Drosophila melanogaster: one gene and its partners. The protein of the gene in region 3 purifies or fractionates together with the protein of the main gene of each other region. This does not show direct contact. Each region holds a gene or a part of one and is shown on either strand. Other genes may lie near its edges. The genes, in order: CG15445, U4-U6-60K, Leash and c12.1.

Region 1 (6,493 bases), on a different chromosome or scaffold from region 3:
GCAATTTTGATCACCGGTTCGCCCGGGTTAAATGCTTGACCAGCTTTCAAAAGTCGCTCCCTTTCGCGCAGCTCCTTCATTAGGAGATCCTCGAATTTTGTCGATGATATCACCTCAACGGGCGGAGCACACGACTTGGCCAAATGGCGGAGATTCTTAATCAGCTGATTAAGCTGCTGCTCCACGGAATGCAGAGATTGCGAGACACGACCGCCCACAAAGACACTTCGGCCATCTGCGCCCAGAATCAGCTCGTGCTCCTCCGTCTGATACAGACCAGTGGTGTCCACCTCGGGACGAGCTTCCACGCAGGCAGAGGGCTCCGTTTGACAGCCGGTGTCTTGCAGAGAGACAGGGACCGGTTGTTCCACCTCCTGCTTAGGCACGGACCTCCTGATCTCCACCAGCGTTCGCATAAGAGCCATCAGCAAGCACTGCGTTTGTCCAGCCAGATCCTCCTCGTAGTGGGCCTCCGCCAGCTTTCCAAATTCCGAATCCGCTAGAGCTTCTTTTTCTCCCAGTATGGCGGCCACGACCTTCTGCAGTTCCTCCGTCTGGAATCGGAACTCCGGCCGACTCCGGAAGTCCGGCAGGTTGCTGCGATGCGGCGTCTCGCTGCAGAAGACCGACAGTGTGAAGTGGCAGTTCTGGGAGTGCAGAAACTCCGCCACCAGAGTGTGCAGCACCATCGCCAGTGGCGAGACGAGCAGTGCGTGGGACTGAGCCATCTGCACACCAGCAGCCTTGCTCAAGAGCTGGCCTGGAACGGGTACATTTATGGTTAGATCGATTAATAAATTAAAAAGGGGGTTTTCAATAAACTTTGAGATGCCAAATAGTAAAATATCTTTCATTAGTTTGATTAGCAAACCCACCGAGTGCCGTATTATTGAAGCAGTGAATGAGCTCCACCCGCAGGTGAGAGTGCATCTCCCGGGCAATCCCCTCCTGGTCCAGCCACTGGCGGAACTTCACCTCGAACTCCTGCTCCGACATCGCGGCCAGTTCCTCGAGCTGTTGCCTCAGCCGTTCCGCCCTGGCATCGGAGTCATCCTGCTCCTCAATCTGATCCTGAGGAATAGGTACGTGCTTTCTGGTAGGCCTTCCTGTGCGGTATCCGTGTGCTCCAACCTCCGGGGGCAATGATGATCCCCGCGTTACTGAACACAAAATGGGATTATCAGTGAATATGAATCGCTATTAAGTTCGTAAAGGTTTATTGTACTGAATATTTTAATTTGAAAAGATTATTTTTCGAACAAATTTGTGTACGTCGGAGTATAAAGATTGCTGGTTTCTTAGAGTTATAATAATAATAATAAAAATAGTTATAATAATAATATTAATAATAAAAATAATTATTATAATAATAATAATAATAGTTATAATAATAATAATACTTATAATAATAATAATAAAAATATTAATATTATTATAAAAATAATAGGCCCACCTCTAGTTATATTTGATGGTCCGCACGGTCCTGGTCTGCCCAGTCCGGTTGCTTGGAGTCGCTCCCTGGACTGCGTCATTCTCCGCCTGGCGGGATCGCCGTCGGTGCTGATCCTTCGATTATGCTGGCGCACCCGCTGTGTCGCCGACGCCGCTGTGGCCCGCTCCTGCTTAATCTGCTCCTCCCGCTCCCGCTTTGCGGCCTCGTGCTTCCGCTCCCGCTCGCAAGGCATGCCGATGCCGCCCACATCCCGCTGCTTCGCCCTGAACGATAACGTTGTCGTGCTCGCCGGCACGTGGCGAACCTTCATGCCGTCCTGAAGGAACTCGAGGCTCGGATGGGATCGAGAGTTGGTCTGCGTATGCTCGGATAGAACCTCTGACCGCCGCTTACATGCGCCGCGTTTGAGTAACTGAACTTTCCAGGTAAAACGAGCACGAGCGCAAGACACTCACCACCAACAGCGAAATGTGACAGGTGCGACGGAGCCTGCCCTGCCACCTGGGAACTGAGTGAAATTGGGGAGGAGGTCAACTCGATCGTCGGGGGTTGGTCCTCCTAAAGGCGTCAGCTGTGTTGCCTATGTGAAGCGTGCTCTAAAAATTAAGTGAAATATATGACAACTGAGTTCTATGAAATGGTATTCTAAGCAAAAGCTTATTTATCATAAGTAATTGCTCACTAATACTTATAACGGCGGCAGTATTTACTGCCGAGCCCATATTAAAACAGCAATACTTCTTGTGGAAGCGTGTATTTGGTGTATTTTTCACAATAATAATATTTTGAATTTTAATTCAAAACAGTTCCGCTTTAAAGTTGGCAGTTGACTATCGATAGATAATTGTCCGCAAAACAGCTGATTGCTAAGTAGTAAGTGCATCAGCCGTACTGACGGTGAAACTGAAATATGAGTTTCTTGCGTTAAATGGTATAGAAATAATATAATATAAATCAACAAGCACAGCTGTGTTTGCCAATGCGTTTTTATAAAAAACCAAATTTGAAGACTTTGACTATTAACGGGCAGAACGTTCATGTCAGTCAGCTTTTGCAAGCGTTTCGCTGTGGCTGACAGATGGCCGAGTGCTGCAAGAGCCGATAGCTATCGAGTTGCAGTTGTTGTGTCAAACGACAAAAAAGACCCAATTGCGGTGATTCCACCAGGCAGAGCTTATCCCATACGAAGACGCAGCACAGTTCACATTAAATAAATTTCCGTAAATAGTTCTTATTTGTCACCCGCCCAAAATTAAAGTCTACTCCACTGCACCCAACCCCGCGATTATCAACGACTGCGCATCGTTCTTTGTTGTTTCGTGTAGAAACACATGTGCAAGGAAGAAGAAGAACCAGAACATCACATCACTCGTAAATAGTAAATATCTAGAGCATGCCCGATCCTTTGTGACGCGTCAGTTTCAGCCAGTTCGCCACAATTTTTGCCAAGTCATCGTCGAAAATGTCACAAAACGACAACCTACTCATCCAGATCCGCGCCCTTCTCCAGTCCGATGGCGAGAAGCTGTGGGAGGAGCCCTACTACTCCGAAGATCTTGGTAGCATCGAGGGAGCACTAGAAGTACGTACTATATGCCCACCACCCCACACCTAAATGCCTTCCAGTCAGTGGTCGGGGAAATGACAAGAATGCCTGAAATACGGTTGGCAATATAGAAATATTATATTCAAAATGCATATATTATATATATATATATATATATATATTATATATTTATTTGTTAGTTCTTTTCACATTTGAAGAAGTAAGAAGCTAGTTTCGACAAGCCGTAACTTATATACACCTTCAGCTAAGTTCATATTATTAACACTTATTTTAGTTTGATTAGTTTGATCATATGATATTATTGTCCAATTAAAAATACTTAAAAAAAAAACAACATGACATTGCACAAACGAATCTTTTAAATTCCTATTATACTTTAATAATTCTGAATTACAAGAGTAACGACAAAGATATTATTTAGTTTCCTTATATAGGTTTTTGATCTGTTTCGCTTCGACTTATTTATAACGCCTAGAATAAAAATAAGATTTTAAACCGATAGATTTGTTGGCGTGTGAAAATGTGATTGCTTTCTTGAATTATTATTTATTTTTCAATAAATAGAGGTTGAGGGATTTTAAAAATAAAGTAAGACCAATAGTAGTCAAAAGAATAGCACATTACCAGCATTCATACTCAGGAACTCAGTAGCTTTGGATTAATATAATATATAATATTTTATTCTATAATAAGATGTGTATCCATTTCATTAAAGAACCTGGCGCAGAAGTACTCCGGCATGTTGGGCATCGATATAGGTCGCTGCAAGTTCTTTTTGACCGAGCTGCAGGAAAATGCTCTCCGTACGCTGGCCGCCCGACGTGAGTTCAGCACCACAGGAATTGCCACGTTGAAGGTTCGCCGCGTTGGCGAGCACAGCGGTGCCACAATGGTGGAAGTGAAGTGCAGCTTGGACATCGTGGGCTCCGAACTCCAGGCATGCATAGCGAAGAAACTGGAAGTGCCGAATGCTGCGCACGTCAAGTGCATCGCTGCCGGCAAAGTGGTGTCCGCCAATGCCACTTTGGCCGACCAGCAGTTGAAGAACAACCAGCAGTTGATTGTCATTGTGGGCGATGGGGATAATTCTGGCGAAGCCCTGTACGAAAGGATCAATCGCATCAAGGCCGATGTGGAGGCGGTGGTGTCCTCGAAGAATAACCTAATAGAGGTGAGTAAATCGGAAGGAAAGTTGCTTAGGTTGTTGTTTAGAAGGTTTTTTAAATCACACCACTTGTTTGTATTTTCGTGTCATGCCCAGATGGAGGATCAGAATGGCAGCCAAGTGTATTTGCCGCCTTCCGAGCATAAAGCCCTGCTCATGGGTTTGGGATTCTGTGAGAAGGCCCGTGCGGCCATGAATCGCAAGCATTTTGAGGAGGCTCTGCTCCTGCTTTTGGAGGCCGACGAGCATTTTTCTACCTGTGGCTCAAAGTTTCTAGAGTCCGTGGATAACTATGCTTTGCTGAACCTCGACATAGTGTGGTGCTATTTTTGCCTGAAGAACGTTACCCAGCTCCCGGATGCTGAGCATCGCTTGGCCCGCTGCAGTCGCAATTTCGGCATCAGCTATGGCGACAATTTGGAGAGGCTGTACTCCTTGAAGGGCAAGGACTGTCCCGAGAGGGCTTTAATTATGCGGCTTAAGTTGCTCCAGGGCGTGATCTTCTTCCACCAGAATCTTCGCAATCAGGCATTTGAGTGCTTCGAAGCGGCTAAAACTCTGCTAAATGAACTAAAGATCAACAACGACCAACTGGCTCTCCTGGTCGATATGGGCTTCGAGCCCTCCGAGGCTCGTATGGCCCTGCGCTCCTGCAAGGGCGGCACCGCCGTCGAACAGGCTGTTCAGTTTATTCACGAGCGTCGTCAGCAGCTCAAGAATGCACGCATGAAATATAAAGCGTCCGAGCGTGCTATGGAGCGCCGCCTGAAGCGCTCCAATTCCAAAGATTGCACCTGGGTGAATCCCCGCAGTGTCTGCAGCCTTGCTGACATGGGATTCGAGAGCGGACTGGCCACTATCGCCTTGCAGCGCTCTAATAATGATATCCTCCAAGCGGTAAGTGTGGCCAAGAATATATTCAATGACATGAATTGATCAGTATGTTTTAACTATAATCTCATGGATGTCACGTGTTTGTAAACTATAAAATAATAGAAATATTTTTTTCTTAGGTGGAACTGCTGCAGACAGAATCGGACGAACTTACTGGTGCTTCGCCATGGTTTCCGGTCACCGTAGACACGACCAAACTGGCTCAGCTTCTGCAACTGGGATTCAACGAGAACGACTCGCGCGTGGCCCTACAGAATGCATCAAATAACATGGAAGAGGCCATCGAGAGTCTGATGTGCGCCATAGAGAGCGAGGAGGAGCTGAAAGCGATTTTAAAGCACGTTGGGCGTTTGGCCGAAAATGGTGGGCAAAATCTTGACGGCCCCTCTACTTCGAACGCCTCCGGGCAGACGCAAGTTGCTTTGCCAGCGCCCATTATCGAAGCTGTTATCAATCATGCTCGCGTCGAGATTGAAACGTACAAGGCCTACGAGCGCTTTAACTCCGACCTCAAACTGAGCGACCTGGAATACCTGGACTTGCCACTTATCCAGGAGGAGAAGATCCTGACTGAGTATTTCAATATGCTGCAGCAGTAGCTTGTATTTGACTTGCCTTTTTTATATCTATACAAAAAAATATAGAAACCCGAAACCGGTTGTCAAGATAACTGTAATCATGACTTGTCTATATTGCAAATCGTAGTCTTATAATGGCACTTAAGTGGCATTCAGCTCCCCTCCCGGCTGCTGTTTGTCCAACTAGGCAAATAGTAAAATATAGAGATTTATAAGTACATGCCTTCTATTGACAACTGCAAAATGTGATTGCGCCGAGCCAGCGGGAGAATTCACCTTTTGGAGCCACCTGAAACTTGTTAGCGCCTCTGGTCATTGCTTATTTTTTTTTTATCGTTTGTTTTTTTTTTTGTCGCTTGACTCTCGACCCCGGCTCGGACGGCGGCGCTTGATTGGGTTCAGTCGTGACCTTGTCGAGGCCAAAGGGCGCCGCTCACTAAGCTCATCCCGTCGACGAATTGAGCGGAACTTACACGATTTGCTGTAAGTATTTGCTTTGCTTAGCAAAGAATTTATTTATTTATTCAAGTAGCACCAAGACTAAATATTATAAGTCAACTAATTGGTTTTCTATATGTATGTACATACATATGTGTAAAATAGTAATTTTCTATTTATACACGTTACTCGCAGAGTGAATAGTATGTAAAATGTTGTCTTGTACAAATTGGCACGGTGCCATAGGATTAAAGTATCCTGCGGCAAATGTGTTGCAAACATGTGTTTTTACATCCTTGTTGGGCGAAATGAAAAATTTAGCAACTGGATTTTTTTTTCCGTAAAAGTATTTGCTCTCATGAAATTAGGTGTGATAGGAAAATGAATTTGGTAGTTAT
Region 2 (5,140 bases), on a different chromosome or scaffold from region 3:
AGTTTGTTAGCCTAGTGCAAGAGTTATGTATTTAGTTAAGTGGCATCTTCGAGCGTCGGGAGACCTCATTCAAATCCACATTAGAACGCGCTCGTCCAGCTCCCGCTCCCGATCCTGCTCCAAATCCCAGCACCATATTCTACATGAAGCCCATGGATTGCGATTTGAATCCTTGTAAATCTCAACGCGAAACAATGAAATGAAATTCTAGACATTATCTAACGTCATGCATGAGCGTAGTTAATCGACGAGCTAATACTACAAACTGATCGACAATTGTGCAAAGTGCAAGAAAATTTATGAATCCTTATGTGTAAACTATATGTAACAGTTATATCGCGATGTATGTAATCTATAATTAATATATTAGACATACACTTACATGTATGTATGTAATTGCAACCTATCTGTGGTAGTTAAATTTTAGTTAAAATTCAAATTAATTGTCTAAGTTTGTCATACAACAAATATATACGAAAAGAAATTAAATGGAAAACTATATACAAGTAATAAAAACAGATGTTTAAATATGAGGATGGGCTGCTCAAGGATAATTAAAAAATGAAGAGGAAAAGTTGCTAGTTATCCTTACTTATAAATTAGAAACAAGTTGTAGGCTGATTAGTTGTTGGGCCAGTAAATCCTTTCCCAATTTTAAACCCGTTTAAAATTCAATTCTCTACCAAAAATGTATTTTTTATTAACAATTTCAATAAAAAAGTCTTAAATTTACGAAATGCAACATCGCTGCATCTGCCTTTCGCCTAACAAAAACAACAAATTGTGTTATACAAAACGAAAACTTGAAATGTTTTGGGCTATTGTCTCTGAAATAACAAAAACAGTTGATGAGTAAGTCGTGCCCAGCGGGCAGATCGCAAGTGGAGATTGTCTGCGTACGCCCACAGGTGAGTACAATAAAGTAATGGTATCAAAATCAGCTATCCGGCGACCACAGCTTAAATGTGCGGTCAAATGAGGTCGTGGCTATATACTGCGAGTTGGGCGCGATGTCCACCGATATGACCTTGTTGTCGTGGCCCTGCAGCGTCTTCAACGGCTGCCACGTCTTGTTGGACCAGATCTTGGTGGTCGAGTCGTAGGAGCAGGTGACCAGGAAGCTGCCGCACTCCTGCTGGTACTTCACGTCCGAAATCAGATTGGTGTGCGCAGGAATGGTATAGACCGGCTGGCGTCGCCTCAGGTCCCAGATTTTACATGTGTTGTCCTGGGACCCTGTTGCTATGTGGAATCCGTTTGGAGAAAAGTCCACGCCGAAAACGGCGCCCAAGTGTCCCTCCAGAAACATGATGCACCGCCCAGTGCGCAGATCCCACACTCGTCCAAAGGCATCCAGACCGCCGGTGACCAGGACACTGCCGTCGGAATGATAGCTAAGGCAGTGAACCGGCTTTGCGTGCCCTTCCTGGTGAAGCACCTCTGTCTTTTGCTCCAGATCCCACAGCCGCCAGCTAGAGTCGTAGCAGGCGGTGGCCAAGAAGCGGCCGGAAGGATGGAAGGCTACCTTAGAGACGCGATGCGGCATGTGGCCGGTGATGTCGGCAATCGACTCTTCGTTGTTGAAGCCCCACAGCTTGACGGCGCCATCGTGGCCACCGGAAGCCATGGCCACCACGTTCTCCTCGTCTGCCTTAACTCCCGGCCGCAGAGCCACTCCGCCCACATAGCTGGCATGTCCACGCAGCGTCTGCTTCAGCTCGCAATCGGGCACGCTCCACAGCTTGCAGAGACCCGACCATGAGGAGGTCAGAAGGAGTGAGGAGTCTTCACTGAAGGCAGCACTACTCACGGGCCGTGTGTCACCCACCTGGGAGCACAGTGGAGCCAGCGACTGGAGCTTCTTCTGCATCTCCACCATTCGGCCGGCACGTGCTGCGCTGGGCACTTCAAGGGCCTCACGTGCTCGTACCAAGCGATCCTTGGCGCGCGGCAGGGAATAATCCGCCAGCCAGAGTCGAGCGATACGCAAACTATCGGGTCCCTCGTGGTACCAGGTGGCCTGATCCTGCTCCCGCTGTTGCTGCTTGCGCTCCTCATCCTCATACTGCCTCTTGTTGATGGCGTTCTCGCCCAATCCAGCCAAGAGTTCCTTAAGACGTCTTCTTCGCTCCGCCGGTCCTTCTCCAAAATAGCAAATGGGTTCGTTTAGCTGGCGCAGATTGCTCTTGATCTCCGTGTCGTCTGTGGACACATTTATCTGTCGTGCTCGCTTTTTCCGCTCAAATTCCTCAAGGAGCGCCACCTTGTCGCGCTCCATTTCCATCTCTAGATCGAAGTAGTCATCGTCAATTTTGTTGGCCAGAGTAGCGGCTGTGGGTGGTGGTGCTCCGGCCTGCTTGGCGTTGCTTGTCTTTTTCGTGGACTCCTCGTAATCCTCATCGGAATCGATGTCTTCCAGTTGCCCGCCTGTTCCAGTTGTTGTTGTTCCTGCCCCAGACGATGCCGTCGTTCCCGATGTTGTTGTTGCTGCTGCCCCAGACGCCGCGGCATTTTGCCGCTTGCGTTCCGATTCCTCGAGCGATCCATAGTGCAGCGTTCGCTGCCGCTTAATGTACTGTATATCGTCGTCATCGGACATCGTTGCGGCCAGCAAACAAGTGCAAAATAATTAATTTTAAAATAAAATTTCGCCGAAACAACGAAGAAACAACAAAAAATATTGCCGTAAAGAAAACGTTTTGCTGCCTAGTGTTGAGCAACGCCGAGAGGGGTGGTTTAGTGATGCCATCACCGATGTTTAGAGCGGTATGCAGCGAATAAGCAATAGTTTTTAGATCGATATTGTTTGTTGTTTATTGTTAAATGAACGGTTTTTGAAACTCTAAATTATATTTAAAACAATAACTATTTAAAACTGAAACTTTATTCCACGTGTTTAATAAAATTTTATATTAAGATCGCGATATACCGTTATTAGAGAGAACTACATTTGTTCTTGGAAATTAAATGATGTGCCTTTGTTTTTTATTTAATCATTTAATCAACAATAATCTATATACTTGGATCTGAACAAAAGCCGTTACTCCCAGAAACCGTGACTTTTCACCGATATATCGCCTACTCGTGCTTCACAGCACTGTTTTTCAGCACTACCCCATTTTAGAACATCCTCACGCACGCACGCACAGAATTTTCTTAGGTGATTAAAAGTGAGTGAAAATTGAGAATTTCCACACGCGTCGCACGCTATTGGTCACAAAGCCAGTGAGATAGCTGTCACTGCCACCGCTGCAGCATTTTTCACGCGCTCCTGGCCAGAAGGATATGAGCGCGCCGAGCAACAAAATGTCGGCCACCGATCAGATGCGAGCAATGCTGGACCAGCTTATGGGTACCACACGGAATGGCGACGAGCGCCAACTGAAATTCTCGGACCCCAGGGTCTGCAAGTCCTTTCTGCTCGACTGCTGTCCGCACGACATCCTGGCGTCCACGCGCATGGATCTCGGTGAGTGTCCCAAAGTGCATGACCTGGCTTTCCGCGCAGATTACGAAAGTGCCGCCAAGACGCGCGACTACTACTACGACATTGAGGCCATGGAACACCTGCAGGCCTTTATTGCCGACTGCGATCGACGCACCGACTCCGCCAAGCAAAGGTTGAAAGAGACCCAGGAAGAGCTGACCGCCGAGGTGGCTGAGAAGGCCAATGCTGTCCATGGCCTCGCCGAGGAGATTGGCAAGAAGTTGGCCAAGGCCGAGGCCCTGGGCGAGGCCGGCGAAGTGGAGGACAGCATGGAGCTGATGAAGGAGATCGAGGAGCTGCGTGCTAAGAAGATCAAGGCCGAGCACGAGTACCGCACATCTATGCCCGCATCCACCTACCAGCAGCAAAAGTTGCGCGTCTGCGAGGTATGCTCCGCCTACCTCGGGATTCACGACAATGACATACGTCTGGCGGACCACTTTGGTGGTAAGTTACATCTCGGATTCCTCACTATCAGAGAAAAGCTGATCGAACTGGAGAAGACGGCGGCGCCGCGGAAGGCGGAGCTCAAGCGGACGGGTAAGATGACGGACCGCGAGGACGAGGGACGCGGACGCAATCGCTACTTTGTAGGTGGTCGTGAACTGGACCGCCGCTCTCGCGTACATCGTTCCCGCTCCAGAGAACGACAGCGCAACCGGGATGGGGACCGCGAACGCCCCAACAACGGACGCGGTCCTGAGGAGAAGGGGAGTGAGCGACCCAAGGAAGCGGCAGATGGTCCGGAGCGAGCCGAAAGGGCACCAGATCGTGGAGGACGGCGAGATGACAGGGACAACCACGGCAGGGATCATCGCGAACGGGAACGCGATGGCAGGCGGGATCGGGACCGACATGGACGCAACGACAGAGGACGCTTTGGTGACAGAGGCGGCGGTGGAGGAGGCGGTGGCCATCACCGTGACGACAGACGCCGCTCAAGGTCCAGGGAACGCTCGCCACGCGAACGGCGGAACTTTAACCACTTCAGGGATGGTGGTGGCGGCGGAAATGGCCAGCGCAAACGATCCTACTCCCGTGAGCGCAACTACCGCCGCTAGGCTAGAATCCCGCCCAGCGCACGTACGTAGCATTAATCACATGAACTATAATGCCACCACAAATTGAACTACTGAAAACAACAGGAACCGAATATTCTTAGCGTAACCAATAAAGCAACCTAGAGCCACACTTTCGACGCTCCAATATGAAGATACAACTACCTTTGTACATTTTTAATAATTTAATTGATTTCTATTTTTGATCTTGCGTTCCAACCTCTAATGACAAATTTTTGTTACTACCCCAAAGTAAACCGAACGCAGTCCAAGACCCCAGCCTCAATAAAAACTTTAAGAGAAACGATATACTCGATATAATGCGATTGAAATTATATAGTCCCCGTCCAGTCCAGTGTACTTGGCACGTAGAGACAGAAACCCAAACAGAAAATAGAAATCCCAACGAATCGGCAGTGTTGTCAATTAAAGTTCAGTTCATTGTAATTCGGTTAGGACACAGCGGCAGTCAAGTTAAAGATAACTAATTTATAAGGATTCAGAGCAGGAGAAACGTTTAATATATGATATTTTGTGTGTTGTATAGCTAGCTACAAGTTGGTAACATTGACTGAAACCCAACCAAACCTGACCA
Region 3 (5,475 bases):
GACACCCGAAATTTTTCCCAAAAACCAAGGTGCCGTGTAAGTGTGAAAGGAGGTGGTTTTTACCAGCTGCTAATTTATATAACTATGAAAGCCAGTAAAAGTGCAAGGCCGCGTGCAGTGCAGAAATGCAGAATTGCAGAAAAACAACACAACACGCGCGACATTAACACTAAACACGTACATATATACATGTCTACATATATTCTCTATAATTTTCCGTGCGGACTTTGGACGATAAGCGGGGCGACAACAATATCTGGTTATACATGAAGACAAAGAACATAAGGCTGAAAAGCCACGCTTGTCTCTTCTGTTTGTTGTTTTTGCTGGTGGCGCTCTTTTAAGTGTTTGCGCTACACTTGTTACCAAGCGGCATGTTGGTTCACGAGCACAAAAGCTGACAAGTGATTTAGTGTTATATTTACCCACTCTTTATTGCCGTGTTCGCTCACAAATTGAATGGAATCATTGGTTGGATTCCCGTGATTAGTCACACATAAAACACATAAGCTTTAGCGAAAACTATGACCTTCATCACCTCTGTATCAAACAATTGTGGCGTGCTTGATAGTCTTATCGCCCATAAAAGTAGTCGAGTATGGTCAACTGAAATAATTTTGGTTTTACTGCCAAGATTATATGTTATTGACCCTAAATCAAAATATAAAAACAGATCCTATATTAAATAGATAAACCGAATTTTTTTATCATATCATATTAAATTTAACCATGTATCAATTCAATTTTTTGTCTTGCAGCTCAAGGAGAGGTTGAAGAACTAGAGCTTAGACATGTTTACGAAAATCTTTCGCGCTGTGATAATCGGAGCCCCCGGCTCGGGCAAAGGAACTATTTCGGAATTGATCTGCAAGAACCATGGATGTGTGCACATCTCCACGGGGGACATTCTGCGCCAGAACATCATAAAAAACACAGAACTTGGAAAAAAGGCCAAGCAGTACATTGCTGAAGGTAAACTGGTGCCCGACGCGATTGTGACCAAGACGATGCTGGCCCGGATAACCGAGGTAGGCAACAGGTCGTACATCCTAGACGGATTCCCGCGCAATATAGCCCAGGCCGAGGCACTGGCTGCACGCGAGCAAATCGATGCCGTGATCACGCTGGACGTTCCACATAGTGTGATTATCGACCGGGTCAAGAATCGCTGGATCCATGCGCCCTCCGGCAGGGTGTACAATATTGGCTTCAAGAATCCCAAAGTGCCTGGCAAAGATGATGTGACGGGGGAGCCGCTGATGCAACGCGAAGATGATAAACCCCATGTGGTGGCCAAGCGACTGGAGCTCTACGATGAGGTGATGAGCCCGGTAATAGCCTGGTACGAAAAGAAGGGTCTGGTTGCCACTTTCAAGGGAAAACAGACAAAGGAGATCTGGCCGATGATGGAGCTTTTCCTCAACGACCGCATAAATGCGTAATGGAGCAACCCCGAAATTACATCCAATGTGCACAAACTAACGATAAACTGCTGTGTTCAATTAAGTGCATAATATATTTAGATATATATAAATGAATACGTATGAAATATGTATGTTTGTGGGCCGGTTAAGAGGAACAGGCGTATAATTAATGTAATTGCGAAGCCTTACACAGTAGCAGCTGTCATGTATTCCTTCTTCCACAGATATCATTCCCCTCATGAGCATGTCTTGCAGCTCCCCCCTTTTTTGTATAAACATATTTTTGTACTCGTATTCTGTGCTCTGATAATAAATCGCGTTTTTTATATATATAAATATATATATATATGCGCTGATAACAGCCGACTTTGACTTTTGGGCAGTTAACGGACAGCCGTCGATCTATTTTTAGGCAATGTCCACAAACCCTTGGCCCCATGCGTGAAGCCAACACTTTTAGCTTCACCTCATGACACCCAAATGCCCTTCATTTTATCGCGTAGCGCATTAATTTCTAAAAAATATGGGATAGTGTGGCGCTCCCGTTTAGTCTCGCGCTCTCTTACTCACACATGCACGGACCAGCTGCTGTTCTCACGCACACCTGTATAGTGGCAAATCACAACAGAGAGGCGCTTGTACAGTCAAGGGCGCCCAATTATGTCAGATTTAAAATTCTTTAAGTCATTTATAAAAAATTCAATAAACCACTTATTGTTTTAAAGGTATACTTCATAATAAAATGGAGATAGCTGTTTGCCTTTTAAACACTATACTTCGGAATATACCATTACTGGGAATCTTATTTCTGGATAATTAAAAAAAAAAACCTATATAAACCCCTTTGTGGCCACCACTGTGCTGCGAGCGCCCTCTCACCTCTCTCTCATTTAGACCCGACTTGCGCTTGGCCCAATATTACGGCTTTTTCGGCACGCCAACTGAGTGTGCCTCTCTTCGCACATGCCCCCACCGTCTACACTCCCCTCTCGCGCGATGCGTTTGGGTTGGCATTTCCTGAAACAAATGCCAGTACTCAAGAATCGTGAAGAACGAAAAGAAATTCAATTGCAATTGCAACGGGCGGCAATTGAAAGCTTATCGATGAATGAAAGGCGAGCGCCGAAGGCAATTAGAGGAATTTGCGAGCAAGAATCTCGAAATTGCGGTGAAGCGGAGGGGGAGGAAGCCCCATAAAATGGCCGCTGTGCTTTGTTAACTGATGGAGTTCTTTGTTTATGCGAATGGGGCCGCAACGAAAGTCCAGCTGACCATCGGGCGGACAATGGATTGCAAACCGCTGACAAAACAGAAAAAAGCACATTTCTATTTGTGGAGTACATGATGGGTTGTGCAGAAAACCATCTTTGTTAATATTAGATTACTATATCTAAGCTAAATCTTTTCGGTAATACGATCTATATGTACACATGTAAACAATACCCAGAATCATAAACTAAGAGCCTAACGTTAAATGTAGGGTTTTGAAACACTTTCTCTGCGTGTCTACAGCTGAGTCATGGATGATGCAAGCCGAGCTTTGAGATGTGCATTCCAGGAAGCGGCAAGTTATGCTCGACTGGCACTTACCGCGTATTTTGGTGCGCTTGTTGACGTTCATCCAGATCTCGCCGCGAATTATGTCGCCCGCAAAGTAAACCCGATCCGCGCTGTCCAGCGTGATTCGCAGCCGCTCGCTTTCCATTCCGCTGGCGTTGATGGTGATGACTCCTCCGGTTTGGCCACTTTCCTCACGCACTTATCCAAAAATAATTTCGTCATCAAAATGCCGCCACATACAAACGTACATGGATGCACTGCAGCACCACGGCCCGCACCACCCTAAAGTATATGCAGAATAGTAGCACCACCACACGCACTCGCCTCACGATTTACGATTTGATGTTACTACACACACCGCGCGGTGAGTGGGAGCTTTTTCGCGCTGATTGTGGCCAGTTCTTGGGGAATCTCGATATCCATCAATTCGCAATGGCCCACAAGTGTTGGTCGCACACCCCGGGCTAATTTAATTCGATTGCTGTCGTCCGCTGGCGGGTTGAATAATTAAATTTCTTATAAATTTACGAGATCCGTGAGTTACGCTTTTTTGTTGTAGCTGCAGCTCTCTTTCGATAACCGTGAGAGCGGCGGTCCGATAGCACGAACAGCTGTTGCGCGGTGCTGCCACCGGGCGCCTGGCCAGCTGAAGCGGTTAATTCGCAGACTTTTTAATCGGTATTTTCAAATGTGTCTAATTTAAAGTTTAAGTTCTAAACAGCGTTTCTTAAATGCACTGTTTTCAGTTGTAATGCAAGAGTTCAGAAATGCTTGGTAGTAATGGTCTTTTTTTATGGTTTGATGTTTGAAAAGAGAAGAAGAAACTCTCTGTTTGAATATCGCCAATAATTTAAGTTGATATATTTCACTACGAATAATAATTACCAAATATTTTACTGTATAGATAACAAAACGCTCAGCTTAGATGTCAGCGATGATTGAAGCATACATACATATTTTATTAAGATTAAACTTTAGTTGGCTTAGCAGCATAATGCTCCATATAGTATTTCGTGTGCTTCCCCGTTCTGTCCTTCGCTTCTTCTTCTTGTAACCTCTCGCGCACAAAAGTTTGCTTCTCGGTTCTTCGGTCTCACCAAAGACTTTTGAGAATTCAGTATTAAGCCAGAGCTGCTCGCGTTCGGAGCTTGCGAGCTGAGTCGCCGGAACCCTCGAATACATCGAATCCCTACCTCTTCCACCAACTATCAATAAAACAAACAAAGGAACTTGATAGCGCGATACCACCCGACACCGTCGCCAAGGAGCCAATTCTGGACAGGATGAGCAGCAAGGTGAACTTCGTCTTCGACAGCAATCCTTTGGGGCTCTATCAAGCCGGTCAGCTTATCTCCGGCACGGCGGAACTGATTACGGAGCGCCCCAAGACGATTCGATGTAAGTGACACCGACATGCGGAAGAAGACGCACTACATACATATGTATTCTAATGGACTCGAAACCATGACGTCATCCCCCTCCATCACCATTCAAATTCTGAATCCCATACCGTTTTACCATCCACTAATAAATAAATATCCACTTAATATTGTTGGTGCTTTGTTATCCGCTGGTTTAATGTTATTGTTGCCGGTAGATATGCTTGAAAGATGTGTATTGTATATACAAATGTACATATATGTATGTATACATAAAGTTTATATACAACACACATGTGGCCGCTTGGCTGGCTGGCGGATATCTGATAGCGGCGTAAAAACTAGTTTTGTTTTGAAATTGCGTACGCTGTTTGTATTATTAGATATTTGATTCAGTTACTGGTCAGCCCGTTCGTGCCAATACCTTTAAATTGTAGTGTATAGGTAGCATTTTGGGTCAATTAGGCGTAATTCATGCAGATATACATATATATATAAATTTATACAAATCCCATTAGCAAGCTAAGTGGACCCTAGCCATCGGTTCAAATTCAAATAATCAAATATTTCCTAGGGTATCAAATAGTCGAGCCTTAGCAGCGCTTTAATTTGATGGTGAACTTTATTAGGTAGCATTCGTTTTTTTTATGCTTCTGATTAAATTATTGTTAGTTCATTAACAAAGACAGTTGTTTGTAGCTGAGCAATTTTCCAATACAATTCTACATCCGAAACACACAAAAGGTCCAAGGTCAATGGCAATTAAACTAAATGCATAATTGAATTACATACCCGGCAGTACAGACAAATTAATCCAATTGCAGCGATCTTTATAACCATAAATGGATACGGCGAGACGCGTTGGCAGGAAAGCGAGGAGCGAGTGGGAGAGGATGGGAAGACGACCAAGTCCCTGGTGACCCACACCACCACCGAGGTCTACTACAGCACTGACCAGCCGGTTTACGGCCAGGCCGGTGGCTCGCAGCTGGAGTTGCCCACCGGCAAGTACGTCTTTCCCTTCCGGGCTACCATTCCGCCCAATGCACCCACCTCATTCAATGGTGCTCATGGTCAGATTAAGCACGAGGTTACCCTAACCATCGATCGCG
Region 4 (4,088 bases), on a different chromosome or scaffold from region 3:
TTGATTTTGATTCAGATCGAATTAGCGTAAAATTGAGCGTTCGTCAACTTTTGGGAGCGGGGTCGCGACCACTCACTGATCCCTGCCAGCGCCAAGGGGGGGTGGCAGGCATCCAGTCGGATGAAGATTCAGGTTGGGATTTAGATTCGAACTCGCAGGCGGAACGTGGGCTCATTGACAAAGTCGGAGTTCAGATCATCAGATGGCGCAGGCCGCGTGCGGGGCATTAAAGAGGCGTGGAAATCAAGACCCACCGGATGATTTGCATTCGCAGTGGCTTCTGCTGCACTGGAAACAATTATCACTTCGATTTTGAACTTTTAAATGAGAAATAAACAGAGTGCGTTAGAATTTGTACAGGTATTCTTGCGCATTGCCCATCTAAGCATTTTTCAATCAAATTTGATGGATATTATGCAGCTGCTGTAAAATTAATTTTTAATGTTTTACCTGCATTTCGAGCAGTGTAGCTCTCGGCGTAATTGACCAAGTTATTCTGCGCTTGCTTGGCCCGGCTCCTTGGGGCAAATTGATTTTGCTTCGTGCCTCATCAGCAGCGACAATTGCCCTTGCCCTGATCGCCATGATGATTGGGCTTCCTGCGCTTCTTGGGCACTTCTTCGTGCGCTCACGTAGCAGCTACCCCTCTCGCCCCTCTTTCCAGCGCTTACCCTTTTCCCTGACCCTGACCCCCCTTGACATCCTGGCCCGCCGCCTCTGGTGGCTGCTGCTGTTGTCCCTCGACCGGCTACCGATGTTTTTTGCGGTTTCACACTTTGGTTAAGGTTCCTGCCCTTCGCACTCGGACTTCCACTCGCGGTCAGCCGCCAGTCATTGGGTCACAGCCCGCAGAAGGAAGATGGCCCAAAGTGCCTATTCGTCAAATAAAGTCGACCTCAATACGAATTGCTAAATAATATGAGTGTATGAGTAGGTTCTTATTTGGATTTTTAACCAAACACAAAGTATACAAAGCAATAAACCAATCGCCTATGGAACTATTCTGGCTAGCATTCCATTTAATTATTCCAAAAATTAATTACATAAGAAAGATCTTATACATACTAAAAAATATGTTTCTCGTTTAAAGAAATTTATCATTCACTGTTCAAAAGAAAACTGAAAAACTTAAAAAGCAAATGCCTTACAAAATGGTCAGTTTGCTACGTACGAAACCAATCGGTATTTAGCTTAGAAAGATTGTTTATGATTATTGGATATCAGAGTTATCTTACAAAATACGAAATTTAATGAACAGCTTGTGGGGGGAGGGGTGAAAGGACAAAGAGGGTTGACAATTGTTTTACTTAAACTATTACAAAAAAAGAGCGCGGCTGAAACTTGAGAGCGAGTCCCAGATGCTGCCTACTTAATGTACTTGTCCATGAACTTCTTGTGGAAATCGGAGCGCAGGGCGTCATTGACGAAGTGCGTCTTCTTATCGGGCGCAGATCTGGCGCAATTCTTAAAGACCACATCATCGTCCCAGCGGCGCTTTATCTTTAGATCACCGCCCAGTCCAGAGGCACGTCCCGCTGCCGAGGCGGCGGTGCCGGGCTCATAGTTCATCAGTGGATTGCCGGACAGGATGTTCTCCATGCGTATGCGTTCGTCCTCCTGCTTCTTTTCCGACTCGCGACGCGCCGTCTCCTGCAGACGTTCCTGCTTGATCTTCTGCAGCTCGGCCAGCAGGGCGGCATCATCGTCATCGGAATCGCTGTCCGAATCGGAGCTATCGTTGTCCAGCGGCTCATCGGCGTCCATATTGGCGGCCTGCTGCTGAGCCGCCTGCTGCGCTTGCTGCTGCCCTGCGTCCGGCTTGGAACGCTTTGCGGCACTGCTGCCACCGCCGGCGTTGTTCGCCTCAATCGCCTTGCGTACAATGGAGGGCAGTGCCTTGCCCGACGACGACGAAGTGGCTCCCGTTCCGGAGCGCGCCTCACGTTCGCGCTCCTCCAGCTCCTTGCGGAAGTCACGGTTGCGGTTCTCATCGCTGGTGCCCTGGCCAGTCTCCCTGCGCAAACACAAGTTCTCGTTAGACAAGGAAATTGTTATGTGGGCTACTATTAATCCTTACCTGTATTTCAGTTTCGTGTGGCCTGGCAAATCGCGACTGGAGTACTGCTTGCTCAGTGCACTCAGATCCTTTTCGCCGCGACCGGATCCTCCGCGGGCTGGATCGAAGGTCGGACGCGCTGCTGTGGTCATTTTCAACTAGCTAGTTATGCGTTTAATTGTTAAATTGATGAAAAGTGAAATGAATTTCCGAACTGCGTGCTTTGTTTGATGTATCAACAGTACCAATAATCGAGCCGTACCACGGTCACACTGACCGATAGGCCTTTCGATACACGCTTAGTGCGGACTTTAACCGTGATAAGGGCGGCTATTGCTGGGCATCACTGGAACATCAGCTGTGCGCACCAATGGGCAGCATTGTTACGGTAAACACGCGCGGAGCACCGCCGTTTTATCCGACAAACAAAAAAACGCTGAAAAACAAAACTTTTCGGCAACTTGAAGCGATTTTAAGTTTAGTTTAGCCAACCCCCTGCTATCCATCCCCCACCGACGGCCATGCTGGCCAATTTGCGCGCCTGCAGCGGCCACCTGTTGCATCACAGCCTCCGAAATGCAAGAATTCCACGACGAAGCTGGGCGAGCACGACTGCTGGCAAGGATCAGCCGGAGGAGGACAGCCTGACCATCGGCGATGTGAGCGTGCGGCTGCGCAAGCCCAAGGATCCGCAACTGGTGCCGCAGCAATACGGTGAGCAGGGGGATGCCGGGAAGTGGGAAGCCAAGATCTCTGGACAGTGCAAAGGTCAACATAAAGATCTTGGTGCCGCAGAATTATTTCATCATTATCATTATATCATGTCATTATATCATCTTTGAGTAGCAGACACATCAAGGATTAAAGAGACCACGGATCTAAAGCGAAGGAATGAATGTAAAACTCATGGTCATCGAGAAAAGACCACTATAATCTCAAGAAAATTCCTATGTGAAAACAAGCTACATGCTATATTTCATAATTGGCCAAATCGACAAATTATATGAGGCACAAGCTATCCGAACTCGAGACTTAATAAACTCTGTATTTGGAGGACCAAATGATTTATGTTTTAACACGAACCTTTCGTTCTTGTATCCATCCAATCCGATAGTGAAATACGCATCGGATGGCACCCTTCAGCTGTCGCAATCAGCACTGCACCACCTGCGCTGGATGCTGCAGAAGGATGCACTGCGTCAGGACATGTTTCTACTGGGGCAACCGGGTCCGCTGCGCCGCCAGCTGGCCATGCAGTTCCTGGAGCTGACGCAGCGCGAGGTGGAGTACGTGGCCCTCAGCAGAGACACCACCGAGAGCGATCTGAAGCAGCGACGTGAAATCAACGACAGGGCGGCCATCTTCCACGATCAGGGAGCCGTACGAGCGGCGCTCAATGGCCGAGTTCTTGTCCTCGATGGAGTGGAGCACGCGGAACGCAATGTCCTGCCCATACTAAACAATCTGCTGGAGAATCGCGAGATGCACCTGGAGAGCGGCAAGTTCCTGATGTCGCCGGAGCGTTACGATAAACTTCTAGAGGTATGTTAGCTGTTTCCTGTGTGCACGTTCCTAGTCCTCTGAAGCTTGCTAATCCTCATTCTCATTTGTTTTAGAAACACTCGCGGGAGCAGCTGGACGAATGGGGTCTGCTACGCGTATCGGAGCAATTCCGGGTGGTAGCCTTGGGTCTGCCCACCCACAAGTACAAGGGCACGCCACTGGATCCACCGCTGCGCTCCCGCTTCCAGTCCCGCAACGTGACCACATATTCGTACGGCGAGCTGTACGAGGAACTGCAGCAGGAGGCGCCTTCTGTGCCCGGCGAGCAGCTGAAGCAGTTGCTCACCTTCGCCTTGACCCTGCAGCAGGCGGATCCTGTGCTCCAACTGCCCGACTTTCCCATCCACAATCTAGCATTGGGTGTCAAGATGCTGGTAGGTGTACCCCTTCACATTTCCGTATAAAATACTTACTTTTCCTTCTGCTTCTTCAGGCGGCTAATCCCTCTCTGAGTCTGCACGACGTCATC

Evidence for each region.
Region 1: the proteins of Leash (region 3) and CG15445 purify together in Drosophila melanogaster (affinity purification with mass spectrometry, with the first as the bait; one large-scale study listed by BioGRID). This does not show direct contact.
Region 2: the proteins of Leash (region 3) and U4-U6-60K purify together in Drosophila melanogaster (affinity purification with mass spectrometry, with the first as the bait; one large-scale study listed by BioGRID). This does not show direct contact.
Region 4: the proteins of Leash (region 3) and c12.1 purify together in Drosophila melanogaster (affinity purification with mass spectrometry, with the first as the bait; one large-scale study listed by BioGRID). This does not show direct contact.

Annotation. Positions count from the first base shown.
Region 1 is NC_004354.4:21,114,581-21,121,073, forward strand, and holds CG15445 (uncharacterized protein), read left to right. Parts: upstream 1-2,580; 5' UTR 2,581-2,824; exon of another isoform or gene 2,825-2,882; 5' UTR 2,883-2,915; coding exon 2,916-3,035; intron 3,036-3,735; coding exon 3,736-4,191; intron 4,192-4,281; coding exon 4,282-5,082; exon of another isoform or gene 5,083-5,167; intron 5,168-5,198; coding exon 5,199-5,678; 3' UTR 5,679-5,864; downstream 5,865-6,493. Other genes in the region: unc (uncoordinated), read right to left, coding at 1-760, 876-1,160, 1,454-1,763.
Region 2 is NT_037436.4:17,511,183-17,516,322, forward strand, and holds U4-U6-60K (U4-U6 small nuclear riboprotein factor 60K), read right to left. Parts: upstream 2,731-5,140; 5' UTR 2,600-2,730; coding exon 938-2,599; 3' UTR 673-937; downstream 1-672. Other genes in the region: CG7564 (uncharacterized protein), read left to right, coding at 3,286-4,548.
Region 3 is NT_033777.3:10,883,627-10,889,101, reverse strand, and holds the start of Leash (leash), read right to left. Parts: upstream 3,563-5,475; 5' UTR 3,130-3,562; coding exon 3,015-3,129; intron 1,758-3,014; exon of another isoform or gene 1,443-1,757; coding exon of another isoform or gene 792-1,442; exon of another isoform or gene 759-791; intron 37-758; exon of another isoform or gene 1-36. Other genes in the region: Ak3 (adenylate kinase 3), read left to right, coding at 792-1,442; CG14696 (uncharacterized protein), read left to right, coding at 4,268-4,382, 5,188-5,475.
Region 4 is NC_004354.4:9,316,915-9,321,002, forward strand, and holds c12.1 (c12.1), read right to left. Parts: upstream 2,310-4,088; 5' UTR 2,209-2,309; coding exon 2,078-2,208; intron 2,015-2,077; coding exon 1,366-2,014; 3' UTR 1,001-1,365; downstream 1-1,000. Other genes in the region: c12.2, read left to right, coding at 2,578-2,770, 2,903-2,953, 3,171-3,598, 3,673-3,993, 4,053-4,088. UniProt on the Drosophila melanogaster protein: Involved in pre-mRNA splicing.